3 linked regions of the Pelodiscus sinensis genome follow. The protein of the gene in region 2 binds, or shares a complex with, the protein of the main gene of each other region. Links are inferred from orthologs where the notes say so. Each region holds a gene or a part of one and is shown on either strand. Other genes may lie near its edges. The genes, in order: DRC5, DRC3 and DRC9.

Region 1 (3,745 bases), on a different chromosome or scaffold from region 2:
ACTAGCTAACAGAGGGTGGCAACCTGATACATCAGGAGTGATGTGTAACTTGATGTGCTATTTATCTCTCTCCACTGTGTAACTTGATGTGTAACTTGTTTGTTTGGTATTTGTTTGTACAAAACAAGTGGTCAGCTGACCACACGGGACAGGGCACATTAGAATCCAGAGAGTTTAGTTGGGTGTTAGTCGATTGTCATGGTGTACATATGTATAGTGGCGCAGCGGTGAGTCCATTCGCTGACAACTATTTTGTACCTTGCTTGACAATAAACCTACTCAGGTGCTTTTTATCTTTATCTGATTTGTGGTCTCTGGGGGCTCTCTCAGAGTTTGTCATATTGATTAATTGTGCATGATTAATGCATTAGACAAGGGGGCACACGCATGTACACAGCCAAAAGTTTATCATCATTGATGGATTAGAGGACCTGTCAGGAACCCATCAGGATGACTCTGCCTGACTGAGGACATGAGCCATTTTTGCCAATGTATGTTACATTTGTATTAAGCAGCTACGTTGTTGACTTCTGTAAGGATAATGTGTCTCTTGATTTTTAAACACTCACATGCATGCCCATATATACCAGGCACAAAAACTGTGCTAGCTATGATCATGTTGGAGAATAGTTGTCAAGTTCAGATCTGGCAGAACTAGCTTTGCCATCCATTTGCTAACATGGCTATTTATGTCAACAGTACTATGAACTATGCTACAGACAAAATTATCCTGTCTTCTATATTGCCTTTCATTTAGACTGCTCTGAGTCATCACCAACATATCACACACTCCTCAGTGATGGGGATAATTGTATTTCTGAAGTAACACCTCAAGAAAGTTAACCACTACTTGTGACAACACTTGCCAATCAGCAGTGGCTGGCATTGTCTTGCCAATATTTGAATGGGAATTTTATGCGGCCGTAACTGTGGGAAAGGTGATATCCAAAATGGGAATACTCAGATGTATGGAGTCAAAAGAGAGGTAAAGAGAATATCCAACCCATTTCCAAAAACACCAGTGCTTGCTCAACCAAGCCAAGTCTAGCTCTAGCAACATCCTGAACTAGAAGAGACTTTATCCTTTCTTCTCTTCATCAAGTTGATCTCTTAGAACCCCAGTAAAAAATTAATTGGTCACTTAATTTTAATAATTAATTAAAATAATACTTTGCTCCTCTTTAGCTCCTTCCATTCAAGGATTTCAATGTACAGGTACTTCACAGTCAGTTAATTTAATCCCCCATTTAGGTAGGCAAAATAATTTCTTGATTTTACATGGGGTAGAGATGGGAAGTGACTTCCAAGAGTTATACAAGAATTTAGAACTCATTTCTAAATTCCCTGGCCTTTGCTTTAACAAACCAGAACATGATTCCTTCTCCTCACTAATGACTTTCTGGCATTTCTTTCTATACTGTAAAAGTCAGGATCCTTAAAGGTGAAATGAAGGGCTTTCTATCCACCAAGATCTGACTTTAGCCCTTCAGTTCTGTTGCTCTATAACTGCAGATACTGTTACTAACATCAGAAGCTGAAAAATGCTACTTTAGGAGTTAGTGATATCATCAGTTCCAACAGAGGAAAAAAGACACTCAGGGACTCAATGCAGATTTTGGCAAGTAAGCAAAGGCAGAAATGATTTTTAAACCAAGTGATTTTAAAAACTATTCTCCTTTACTAAATTCTTACAGTGAGCCATCTGCATGGTATTAAGAGTTGCAATTTACAACAGAATCCCACTAATTTGTACTAATTACTAGGGATGTAAAAAATCGTTTAAAAATGTAACTGTATAACCACTAAAAATCCTAGCAGTTACATGGTTACACACCCTGCAGGCTCTGCAGTATAGCTTTTATACTGCAGGGTAGGGTGAAGCTGGCTCCCCAGGAGCAGGACCAGCCGGGGCTGCTGACCCTGCTCTAAGGGAGGCTTGGCTGCAGGTTATGTGGTGACTGCCAGCTCCCTTTGCTGCAGGCTCTGCAGTATAACTTTTATACTGCAGAGCCCGTAAAAAATCTGGCTCCCTGGGAGCGGGGCCAGCAGCCCCTGCCCGTCCCACTTCCAGGGAGCCAGCATGTAACTTGTAACACAAACTGATATGCTGGTGCTTATCAGTTAACCCTTTAAATAGTTGCACTTTTTTACATCCCCACTAATGTCAGGAAGGTCCAGGCCTGGTTAGTAAATGTTGCAAATTAAAGAGTAGACAAACACAATGTAAAGACACCATACTTAAAGAAAGCATAAGTTAGTACTGGTTACTAAGGGTAACATGCAAGTAGGCTGTTGTATATTTTGTAAAAGAAATGAAGTCTTAATAAATACACCTCTCTGCAGCACAGCCTCTTCCAGGGGACAGTCGCTGAAAGTTGAGATGAGAGCAGTTGCTGTGTCTTTAAATGACAAGTGCTGAGTTTGTGAAGTAACAGAATGGCAAGGTTATAACGGATCTTATAAGCATCTGGCAGTGAGCTCCAGACAAAGGCAGGCAAGTCCCTGTCCCAGGAGCTGGCAACTCAAAGCCCCCGGATTTCCCTAATAAGTGAGTGTAGAACCCAGGACAGGAGAAGAAACTCAAGTTTCCCCTGCAAGGGGCTGTTCAGCTGGCTGAGAGGGAGAGTGGGAGCGGGGAGAGGGCCAGGCAGCCCCAAGCGTCCCTGGTTCCCCTCAAGACGCACCTGGGCTTCAGGGAATTCACTCCAGGCAGAGGCGTTGCGCCCGCGCACCCATCCGAGGGCCCCTGCCCAACTCTAGCTCCTGGGACGCGGGGCAGAATAAGCTACAGACGCTGCCCGTCTCTCCCCGCCCCCTCCCTCCCCGCCAGCCCCAGCCCCTCACCGTCTCCCGCGGGCGCCACCTCCCGCTGCCCCGCCCGGTCCGGCAGGCAGGCCCCGGCCGCGGTTGCTAAGGAAGCGGCCCGTTGTCAAGAGCGGGGCGGGGGAGGGATGCCGAGGCCGGAAGCGAGTCGGTGCCGCAGTGCTGGGAAGGGGGGGGGGCTTATGGTGCGACAGGTGACAGAGCCGCCCCCACCCGTGTCCCGGCCCGGCCCAGCACCGGGCACGGGTCTGCTCAGCGGCTGCGCGGGCGGCGGCACAGCCTAGCTCGGCCCTCCGCTGTATCCACAGGCCCGCCGGGCTTGCAGCGTCCCGGGACAGAGCAATGCAGCCCCTCGTGTGGCTCCCTGCATAGGTGTCCACTGAGTATTATTTATAGGGTTGTCACCTCTGAGGCTACAAAAAACTGGGACATGAGCTGATCCTGTCCCCCATACACTGGTCAACAGCCAGCGCCTGGGAGTTCCCTGGCATTCTTCCTGGGACAACTACCTTCAAAAAGGGAAGATCCTAGGAAAACCTGGAGCAGGGGCAACCCAAAGGCTACGTCTAGACTGGCATGATTTTCCGGAAATGCTTTTAACGGAAAAGTTTTCCGTTAAAAGCATTTTTGGAACAGAGTGTCTAGATTGGCACGGACGCTTTTCCGCAATAGCACTTTTTGCGGAAAAGTGTCCGTGGCCAATCTAGACAGGCTTTTTTGCAAAAGAGCCCCGATCACCATTTTTGCGATCGGGGCTTTTTTGTGGAAAACAAATCTGAGCTGTCTACACTGGCCCTTTTGCACAAAAGGGACTTTTGTCTGAATGGGAGCAGCATTGTATTTCCGCAAGAAGCACTGATTTCTTACAGTAGGAAATCAGTGCTTTTGCGGAAATTCAAGCAGCCAGTGCAGACAGTTGGCA
Region 2 (3,745 bases):
ATCCCTCCTTAAAAATACAATTATAGTTTAATTTGAAAAAAATCGGATACTTACTTCTAAAATCAAGCTGTAGCTCTAAAACATCTTTATAATCAATGCCTTCCCTTTTGGCAAGCTGCCCTAATTCCTCTTGGGGGCCTTGCTCTTCCACAGCTTTTTGAAGCATCTTTTCATCAATCACATTTGGCTCTATGCTATCATATAACCGACTCATTTTCATGCGAAATAGGCCTTCAAGAGCAGAACAAACAATATCTCACAATTACCTTTTCCAGTGAAATGCACGCAGTATACAGAGAAACAATAGTACAGTGGGATATTCAAAGAGCATAGGCCTGCACTATGGAACTCAGAGTTATTAAACTTTCCTAAACAGCTACCCAGAGCAGAGCAAAAAGATTGCCAAATGCGTGGTCCTCATATCATGTACATAGAAAACCTGCATTGAAATTTAAGGAGAAATGTCCATGCAGAATTGCAGCATTGGGCACAATGAGAGGAAGTGAGTGAAAGGGACTGTCTCTTCCCATAAACAACGAGCAGTTGCCAGAACTTTCAACACCCATCTCACTACAAAGATCTAGGGGTGAAATTTTCCCTAGTGCAGAGTACGTACAAGCCTCTATGTTGAGCTTTCTCAATGGGGTGAATTTCACCTCCTGATAAAGACTAGACGTACCAGGTACATGTGCATGTGAGAATTACCAGGAACAGGGTTCTAAACTTTCATTGACAATCTGATGCAGTGGCAAATGCTGGCATCACTCAGACTGTTTGTGGAGGGAAATGTACACATTAGCGAGACTAGCTTGCAGTATAGCCATCTGCCGAGTTGCTCCCCATTCTGCTGAACAACCATCCATTCACTCATTGCCCTGCCTGTCACACAGCTACTTGTCCACCTATCCATTCAGGCTGCCACTCGCCCAGCTTGCCCCACAGCTCCTGCCCATCTACTGGTGCAGCCTGCCCCACAGCCACTTATCCATCTGCCTGCCCATCCAGCCCCTCAACTACCTGCCCAGCCTACCCCACAACTACCAGCCCATCTGCCCGCCCAGCCTACCCCACAACTACCTGCCCATCCAGCCTGCCCCACAGCCACCTATCCATCTGCGCGCCCAGCCAGCCCCACAGCCACCTATCCATCTGCGCGCCCAGCCAGCCCCACAGCCACCTATCCATCTGCCCATCCAACCTGCCCCACAACCACCTATCCATCTGCGCGCCCAGCCAGCCCCACAGCCACCTATCCATCTGCCCATCCAACCTGCCCCACAACCACCTATCCATCTGCCCATCCAACCTGCCCCACAACCACCTATCCATCTGCCCATCCAACCTGCCCCACAGCCACCTATCCATCTGCCCATCCAGCCTGCCCCACAGCCACCTGCCCCACAACCACCTATCCATCTGCCCATCCAGCCTGCCCCACAACCACCTATCCATCTGCGCGCCCAGCCAGCCCCACAACTACCTGCCCAGCCTACCCCACAACTACCAGCCCATCTGCCCGCCCAGCCTACCCCACAACTACCTGCCCATCCAGCCTGCCCCACAACCACCTATCCAACTGCGCGCCCAGCCAGCCCCACAGCCACCTATCCATCTGCCCATCCAACCTGCCCCACAGCCACCTATCCATCTGCCCGCCCAGCCTACCCCACAACTACCTGCCCATCCAGCCTGCCCCACAACCACCTATCCATCTGCGCGCCCAGCCAGCCCCACAGCCACCTATCCATCTGCGCGCCCAGCCTGCCCCACAACTACCTGCCCATCCAGCCTGCCCCACAACCACCTATCCATCTGCCCATCCAGCCTGCCCCACAGCCACCTATCCATCTGCGCGCCCAGCCTGCCCCACAACTACCTGCCCAGAATTCCACGCAACCCTCCAGCCACTGCTCCCCCCCAGAAGCTCAGCCGGCCGCCCAGCCCGCTCGCCAGCCGGCCGCAGGCCCAGGCGGCCAACCACAGGCCCGGCCACGCAAAGCCCACGGTGCCGAGCCGGTGGAGGACGCAGAGGCTGGCGAAGGCCCCCACGCACTCCCCGTGGCACCCGGACATCCAGCCCCACACGCAGCTGCAGAGACACTCGGACACCCACGGGACCCGCCACCTCGCCCCTCGCCGCGGGCACTAGCGCTCGCTGCTAAGGAAACAGGGGCTGTTGCTAAGCAGAGTCACGTGATCGCAACCCCCCACCGCGCGCTCTCTGTCACGTGACAGGCCGCATCTTCCAACCGCAGCTCAGTTTGGTGGTGACTTGTAAAACTGAGTCTAAAGCTCCTCCGCCAATCAAAACGCGAAGCAGCAGTTTAGACCAATTAGAGTCAGCCTCTGCAGCTAGTGGAGGCTGGAACTTCAGCTGACGAGTGTGGCCATTGCCCAATAGAATTGGGCAATTGATGGGGCGTTGTCCAATGGTGAGTGTGTCGGTAGAGGGGATTCCTGCCCCTCATGTGTCACTCAATACGGGGAGCGAGGGTGGTGATTGGAGGAGAGGACAGGAAGGCAGGACCGACAGTGATTGGCATGCTCAGTCTCCAATGCGATCGAGGGAGGTGGGCTTCCTGACCAGTGGAGCTCAGTGGGCGGGCTGTTGACGGTGGCGGAGTCCCTGATTGGTCAGTGAGGGTGTCGGTCAGAGCGGGGAGGAGGCCGCAGGGCTGGATCGAAAAGGCCAGGCCGGGCCGGACCGGCTGTTTGTTGTCATCCCAAGATGGAGTTTCTGCTGGGGAATCCGTTCAGCACCCCGGTGGGGCAGAGCTTGGGTGAGGGGGGGGCATGGGGCATGGGCGGGCCTGGGGAGGAGGGAGGGAGCCTCGGGACAAAGCCAGCCAGAGTGTGTGGGGGGCGAAGGGGGGGCCAAGGGGGCAGAGCCAGGCTGGGGGGGGCCAAGGGGGCAGAGCCAGGCTGGGGGGGGGGGCGGGCAGAGCCAGGCTGGGGGGGGGGCAGAGCCTGGGTGAGGCGGTGCAAAGGGGGCAGAGCCAGGCTGGGGGGGGGCAGAGCCTGGGTGAGGCGGTGCAAAGGGGGCAGAGCCAGGCGGGGGGGGGGCAGAGCCAGGCTGGGGGGGGCAAAGGGGGCAGAGCCAGGCTGGGGAGGGGGGGCAGAGCCTGGGTGAGGCGGTGCAAAGGGGGCAGAGCCAGGCTGGGGTGGGGGGCAGGGGAACAGAGGCTGGAGGGAAGGAGGGGGCAAAGCCCAGGGGGATAGAGCTGGGAGGACGAGGGAGTCATTCCAGTGGCAGAGCTGGGGAGGGACTAGATCTGAAAAAGCAGAACCCCAGTAGGGGTTAGGCTTGGTGGAGTTGGGAGTGCCACCCCAGAAAAGGGTGCGTTAGGGGTCCTAATCCCTGATGGGATCTTGGGGGTCTGGCATCCTGAGGTGAGAGCTGGTTGGGAGATGGGAGGGGTATGGCCTGGTAGGGCTGCAGAGCTTCTGTGGAGGTGAGTGCTGGGGTGCTCGTGATCTATATTTATTGCAGTGGCCTGTGTTCCCCACGGCTGCCCCCTGGGCCTGGCTTGTAAGATGAGGGTGCACTACTTCAGAAACAAAATCCTGCTGAAATCCCTTTTCTCCTACGGTGTTTCCAGTGACAGCTGCAGGACTAGCACCAGTGCTGTCACAGCAGGAGTATAACATGGCAGTTGGCACCTTGATGCTGCCAAAGCATGATGATGCTGTGGTTCTGCAAAGGGGAGCAGAAACTCCATCTGAAGGATTTTGCCCCTCTTCAGTC
Region 3 (3,745 bases), on a different chromosome or scaffold from region 2:
AGATCCAATGGTGCTAGAGCCAAATCCACTGATGCTGACAAAATAAGGATTTGGCAAAGAGAGCAGCACTGCTTTTCATAGTCTCTCTGTGGGAACAGCCCAGTGAACATGACCGCCAAACCTGACCAAAAAGTCTACATCACATTTTCACCTTGCCTGAAACAGTTCCTCCGGTGCTTTTAAAAAAATGTCTAGATCTTGTTAGGTGCTAAAGGTGTTCAAATACTTTACTGCATCGGGCCCTGAGACTTTCCAGATTAAATCTGCAGCCTTCAGAAGTAAGGGGATTATCACAGAGGCAGTTAAATTTTTTAAAAGCATGTGAGCTACTTGGGAGTCTAAAACCTATTTTAAAGAGTGAATTAGTTACTTAGAAGCCCAAGTTTCAGCTAATGTCACTTTTGAAAATAGAGTTTAAGCTGCTAAGTCACTGAGGGCAAAAGTTGAATTAAGCTACGCAACTTGAGCTACAGCAATTGCATACATAATTCAGCTTTTGGCACTGTCTACGCAGCAGGAAATCTTCACTCTTCCTTTGACTTCTCTTAATTTTAAGCGTGATATGAAGGTTACAGGAATTGGAGTAAGAAATCCTCCAGCCTGACATTATTCCAAAGTAATGACTTGCAGTGTAGATGCCCTCTTTGTAATGCTGCTGTGTAGACATACCCTAAGGCACTTTTTAAAAATTTACCCTAATTCTCCAGTGGCCTTAGCTGCATGGACAGGCATCAGCAACAAGGCCCTGATTCTGCCAAGCAGTTAAGTGCATGCTTAGTGCACTCCTCTTCAGAAAATCACTTAAACATGTGTTTGTTCCAATGAAGCCCAAATCCTCAACCCAGGCCTAAATGAGGGATTAAAGGTAAATTTTAAAGTTACTTACTGTTACAGTGGCATGGAAGAAGCCACAGGGGCTGCCAGGTGCATAGAAAGATAGTCTTCTCCTAAGCACTCACCGCCCAAAAAATGGCCAAAATACAGCAGAAAGGTTGTGGGCACAACACCCAAGCAGAGTCCTCTTGGCGCACACAGAGCTTGTGTGATCACACTGGTTTGTACTAGGGATGTAACAGTGTAATTGATATAACCAGAAGCTTATAGGTTAATGCTAAAGACTATACGCAATTCCCCCCACCCTGCCAGTAAATTGTTTAGCAGGCTGGCCAGCAACCCAGCTCCGTCCTGCTCCAGGACCTTCCCCTGCTGCGACTCTGCATTTAAAGTGTGTTAGGCACCAGGCAGGCAAGCAGCCTGGCTCAGTTCCAGGAGCTCAGACGGCCTCACCCTAGACGGGGGTTGCTGCCACCCCGCACTGCTGCGTGTGTCAAGCAGGGGCAGCAGCAGTGACAGGCAGCCAGGGGAGATGACTTTTAAACTGGCTCCTCTCAGGGAACAGCTCCTACCTGGCGCCCTGTGCTGCTGCATCTGTATCCGAGGCAGCAGCATGGTGTGGGGGGGGGGGGGGGAGCTCCTTGGGAGTGGGGCCAGGGCGCACTGGCGGCCGGCCCCGCCCCCGGGGACTATCAAGAGGAGTAACCGGCTAGAAGTCAGGAGGCCACGTGACCCTTCGATGAACGGATCCTTCACGTCCCTACTTGGGGCCGTGGCCCCCCTCGCCACGGCCCCGGGCCACGGCCCCTTTCTCATGGCGGGTTGGGCTTTAACCCTCCCCGGGGGGGGGGCAGTCCTGTGGCCCCCGCCCGGGTGTGTCCCTCCCCCAGCCCCTGTGCGGGAGACAGGCGGCCCCCAGGGGCGCGCCACAGGAGGGGGGGCAGGGCTGGGCCCCTGATGCTCCCTTCACGGGGGGGGGGGGCAATGGGACACCTCTCCCCAAGGGGCTTTGCCCTGCTCCCTAGCTGCGCTCGGACCCAGGGCCCCCCGCTATCCACCGGGGGGGGCGCACTGGGCAGGTCGCTCCCTCCCCCCCCCCCCCCCGGGTCTATTATCAGTGACACTGAGGGGACTCACGCACAGGCCGCAGGCCGGACAGAGCTGGTCTCCATGGCAACTACCAAGCTCAAGGGGGACCTTCCAGTCACACTGCCTACGTGGGTGCCTGTCGGGCACAACCCCTGAACCACGACCTCGCAGGGGAGGTGCCCACACAAAGGGCGCGGGGGACAGAGAGGGAGGGTGGGGCCGCGGCTGGGTTTTATTCACCCGTCCGCGGGCGCGTTTTCTACTCAGGCAGTCATTGCGGGCGACCCAAGGGCCCTTGCGATGCCATATCCCGGCATGCTTGGTGGCCGCTCTCCCTTTCGCCGCCATCTTGGGTCGGAGCCGCGGGGGTGAGTCCGGGGAGCGGAGGTCCCGAGGTGGGTTCAGGGGGGTTCTCCCGTCGCCGTGGGGCGGGGCAGGTGCGGCGGGGCCCGGGCTGCGCAGGGGGCGCGTGTGGCGGGGGCAGGCGGCGGGATGGCGCCGATGCGCGGCGGATGGTGCTAGGCCCCGGCCTGAGCCGGCTCCCACAGCCCCACGGGGTCCCTGGCTCTTCAGCCCCCGGGGTGGGGGGGCCCGGCCTGGCGAACGTAGCCCGGCCCGTGCCGAGCTGGGCTCCCCCGTTGCCGGCCGGGGTTAGCGGGGAGCACCGGAGGCTGCGGCCCTGTGGAGGCTGCGGGTCCCCCGGCGACGTGCCGGGCGCTGCGGAGGGGGGGCAGGGCCTGCTGCGGCCGTGGGGTGCCCGGCTCCCTAGTGCGGCGGCTGAAATCTTCGTGCTTCTCTCTCAGGCCTGCTGGGAGCAGGACTTCAGGACGACGCCATGTCTGGGAGGTGAGCGACGGGCTCTGAACACTTCCTTGGTCCTTTGCTGTCATGTTGGCCGGGGATCGCAAATCCTCTCCTCGGCTCCTGCAGAGTGGGCTGCCTTAAGTAGAGCCGGGTGTTCACCCTCTGTTGTGATGTACTTGGCACTGATTGCTATTCCCATCCCAAAGATCTGTCCCCTATAAAATCTTGTTATGCTGCACAGTTGTGTTCGGATCAGTATGTTGTGGGACAGTCTAAATTCCTACTATCCCATGCTGCCACACATGGTTAACCAGCCCTTTCTGTCAAGAGTTGGTAGAAGTTGGCTGCCATCTAATGATAGCTACAATTGCAAGTTACTTGTTCGTGGATGCAGACTGCATATGCAATCAATTGCATTACAGTTTGGTTATGGATAGGACAGTTTCAGATTCATGGTCAATTTTATTGTCATGGGATTTTAAAAAGCATGAACTTCATGATGTAATGTACTTAAATTTTACAGTGCTGGAATAGTTGAGTTCCTTCATGACCCAAAAAGGGGTTGTGCACTAGGGGTGTGAAAGTGTAACTGTGTACATTGTTAACCAATGAGCCCATGCTCATTGGTTACTGTGCACGGTTACATGCAACCCTCTCTCCTCACCTTCGCTGCTGCTTCTGTATCAGAGGCAGCAGCAGAGTGGAGAGGGAACAGGTGAAGCTCGCCAACTCCCCATGTACACCAGCTGCAGAAAAGCCACCTGCCCCATCCCCTGCTATGTAACCACTGGAAATTTCAGCAGTTACACATTCATTTGAGTAATCCCTATTGTGGACTAAGATCTGTGTAAGCTGTGTGGCTGTGCAGCTTGCCCAGCTAGGCTCTGCAGGAGCTCAAGTAATCTAGCCAAGGTGGGGACCTGCTAGCCAGAGGAGAACTTTCCCTTCCAGCCTCGGGAGACGCAGCCCAAATGCAGCCAGTGTCCCTGCCCCAGATCACCCCTTCCTTTCCTTCGAA

Evidence for each region.
Region 1: DRC3 (region 2) and DRC5 share a complex: the UniProt entries of both Homo sapiens proteins name them as parts of the nexin-dynein regulatory complex. The link is inferred for Pelodiscus sinensis from reciprocal best matches to the Homo sapiens genes DRC3 and DRC5.
Region 3: DRC3 (region 2) and DRC9 share a complex: the UniProt entries of both Homo sapiens proteins name them as parts of the nexin-dynein regulatory complex. The link is inferred for Pelodiscus sinensis from reciprocal best matches to the Homo sapiens genes DRC3 and DRC9.

What each region holds. Positions count from the first base shown.
Region 1 is NC_134713.1:140,621,848-140,625,592, forward strand, and holds the start of DRC5 (dynein regulatory complex subunit 5), read right to left. Parts: upstream 2,984-3,745; 5' UTR 2,845-2,983; intron 2,814-2,844; exon of another isoform or gene 2,685-2,813; intron 2,416-2,684; exon of another isoform or gene 2,334-2,415; intron 1-2,333. UniProt on the Homo sapiens protein: Component of the nexin-dynein regulatory complex (N-DRC) a key regulator of ciliary/flagellar motility which maintains the alignment and integrity of the distal axoneme and regulates microtubule sliding in motile axonemes.
Region 2 is NC_134726.1:33,168,370-33,172,114, forward strand, and holds the start of DRC3 (dynein regulatory complex subunit 3), read right to left. Parts: upstream 2,231-3,745; 5' UTR 2,212-2,230; intron 2,181-2,211; exon of another isoform or gene 1,877-2,180; intron 1,207-1,876; exon of another isoform or gene 771-1,206; 5' UTR 680-770; intron 232-679; 5' UTR 221-231; coding exon 55-220; intron 1-54. Other genes in the region: TOM1L2 (TOM1-like protein 2), read left to right, coding at 2,729-2,780. UniProt on the Homo sapiens protein: Component of the nexin-dynein regulatory complex (N-DRC) a key regulator of ciliary/flagellar motility which maintains the alignment and integrity of the distal axoneme and regulates microtubule sliding in motile axonemes.
Region 3 is NC_134720.1:50,767,881-50,771,625, reverse strand, and holds the start of DRC9 (dynein regulatory complex protein 9), read right to left. Parts: upstream 2,314-3,745; 5' UTR 1,976-2,313; exon of another isoform or gene 1,972-1,975; intron 1,472-1,971; exon of another isoform or gene 1,288-1,471; intron 1,062-1,287; 5' UTR 887-1,061; intron 1-886. UniProt on the Homo sapiens protein: Component of the nexin-dynein regulatory complex (N-DRC), a key regulator of ciliary/flagellar motility which maintains the alignment and integrity of the distal axoneme and regulates microtubule sliding in motile axonemes.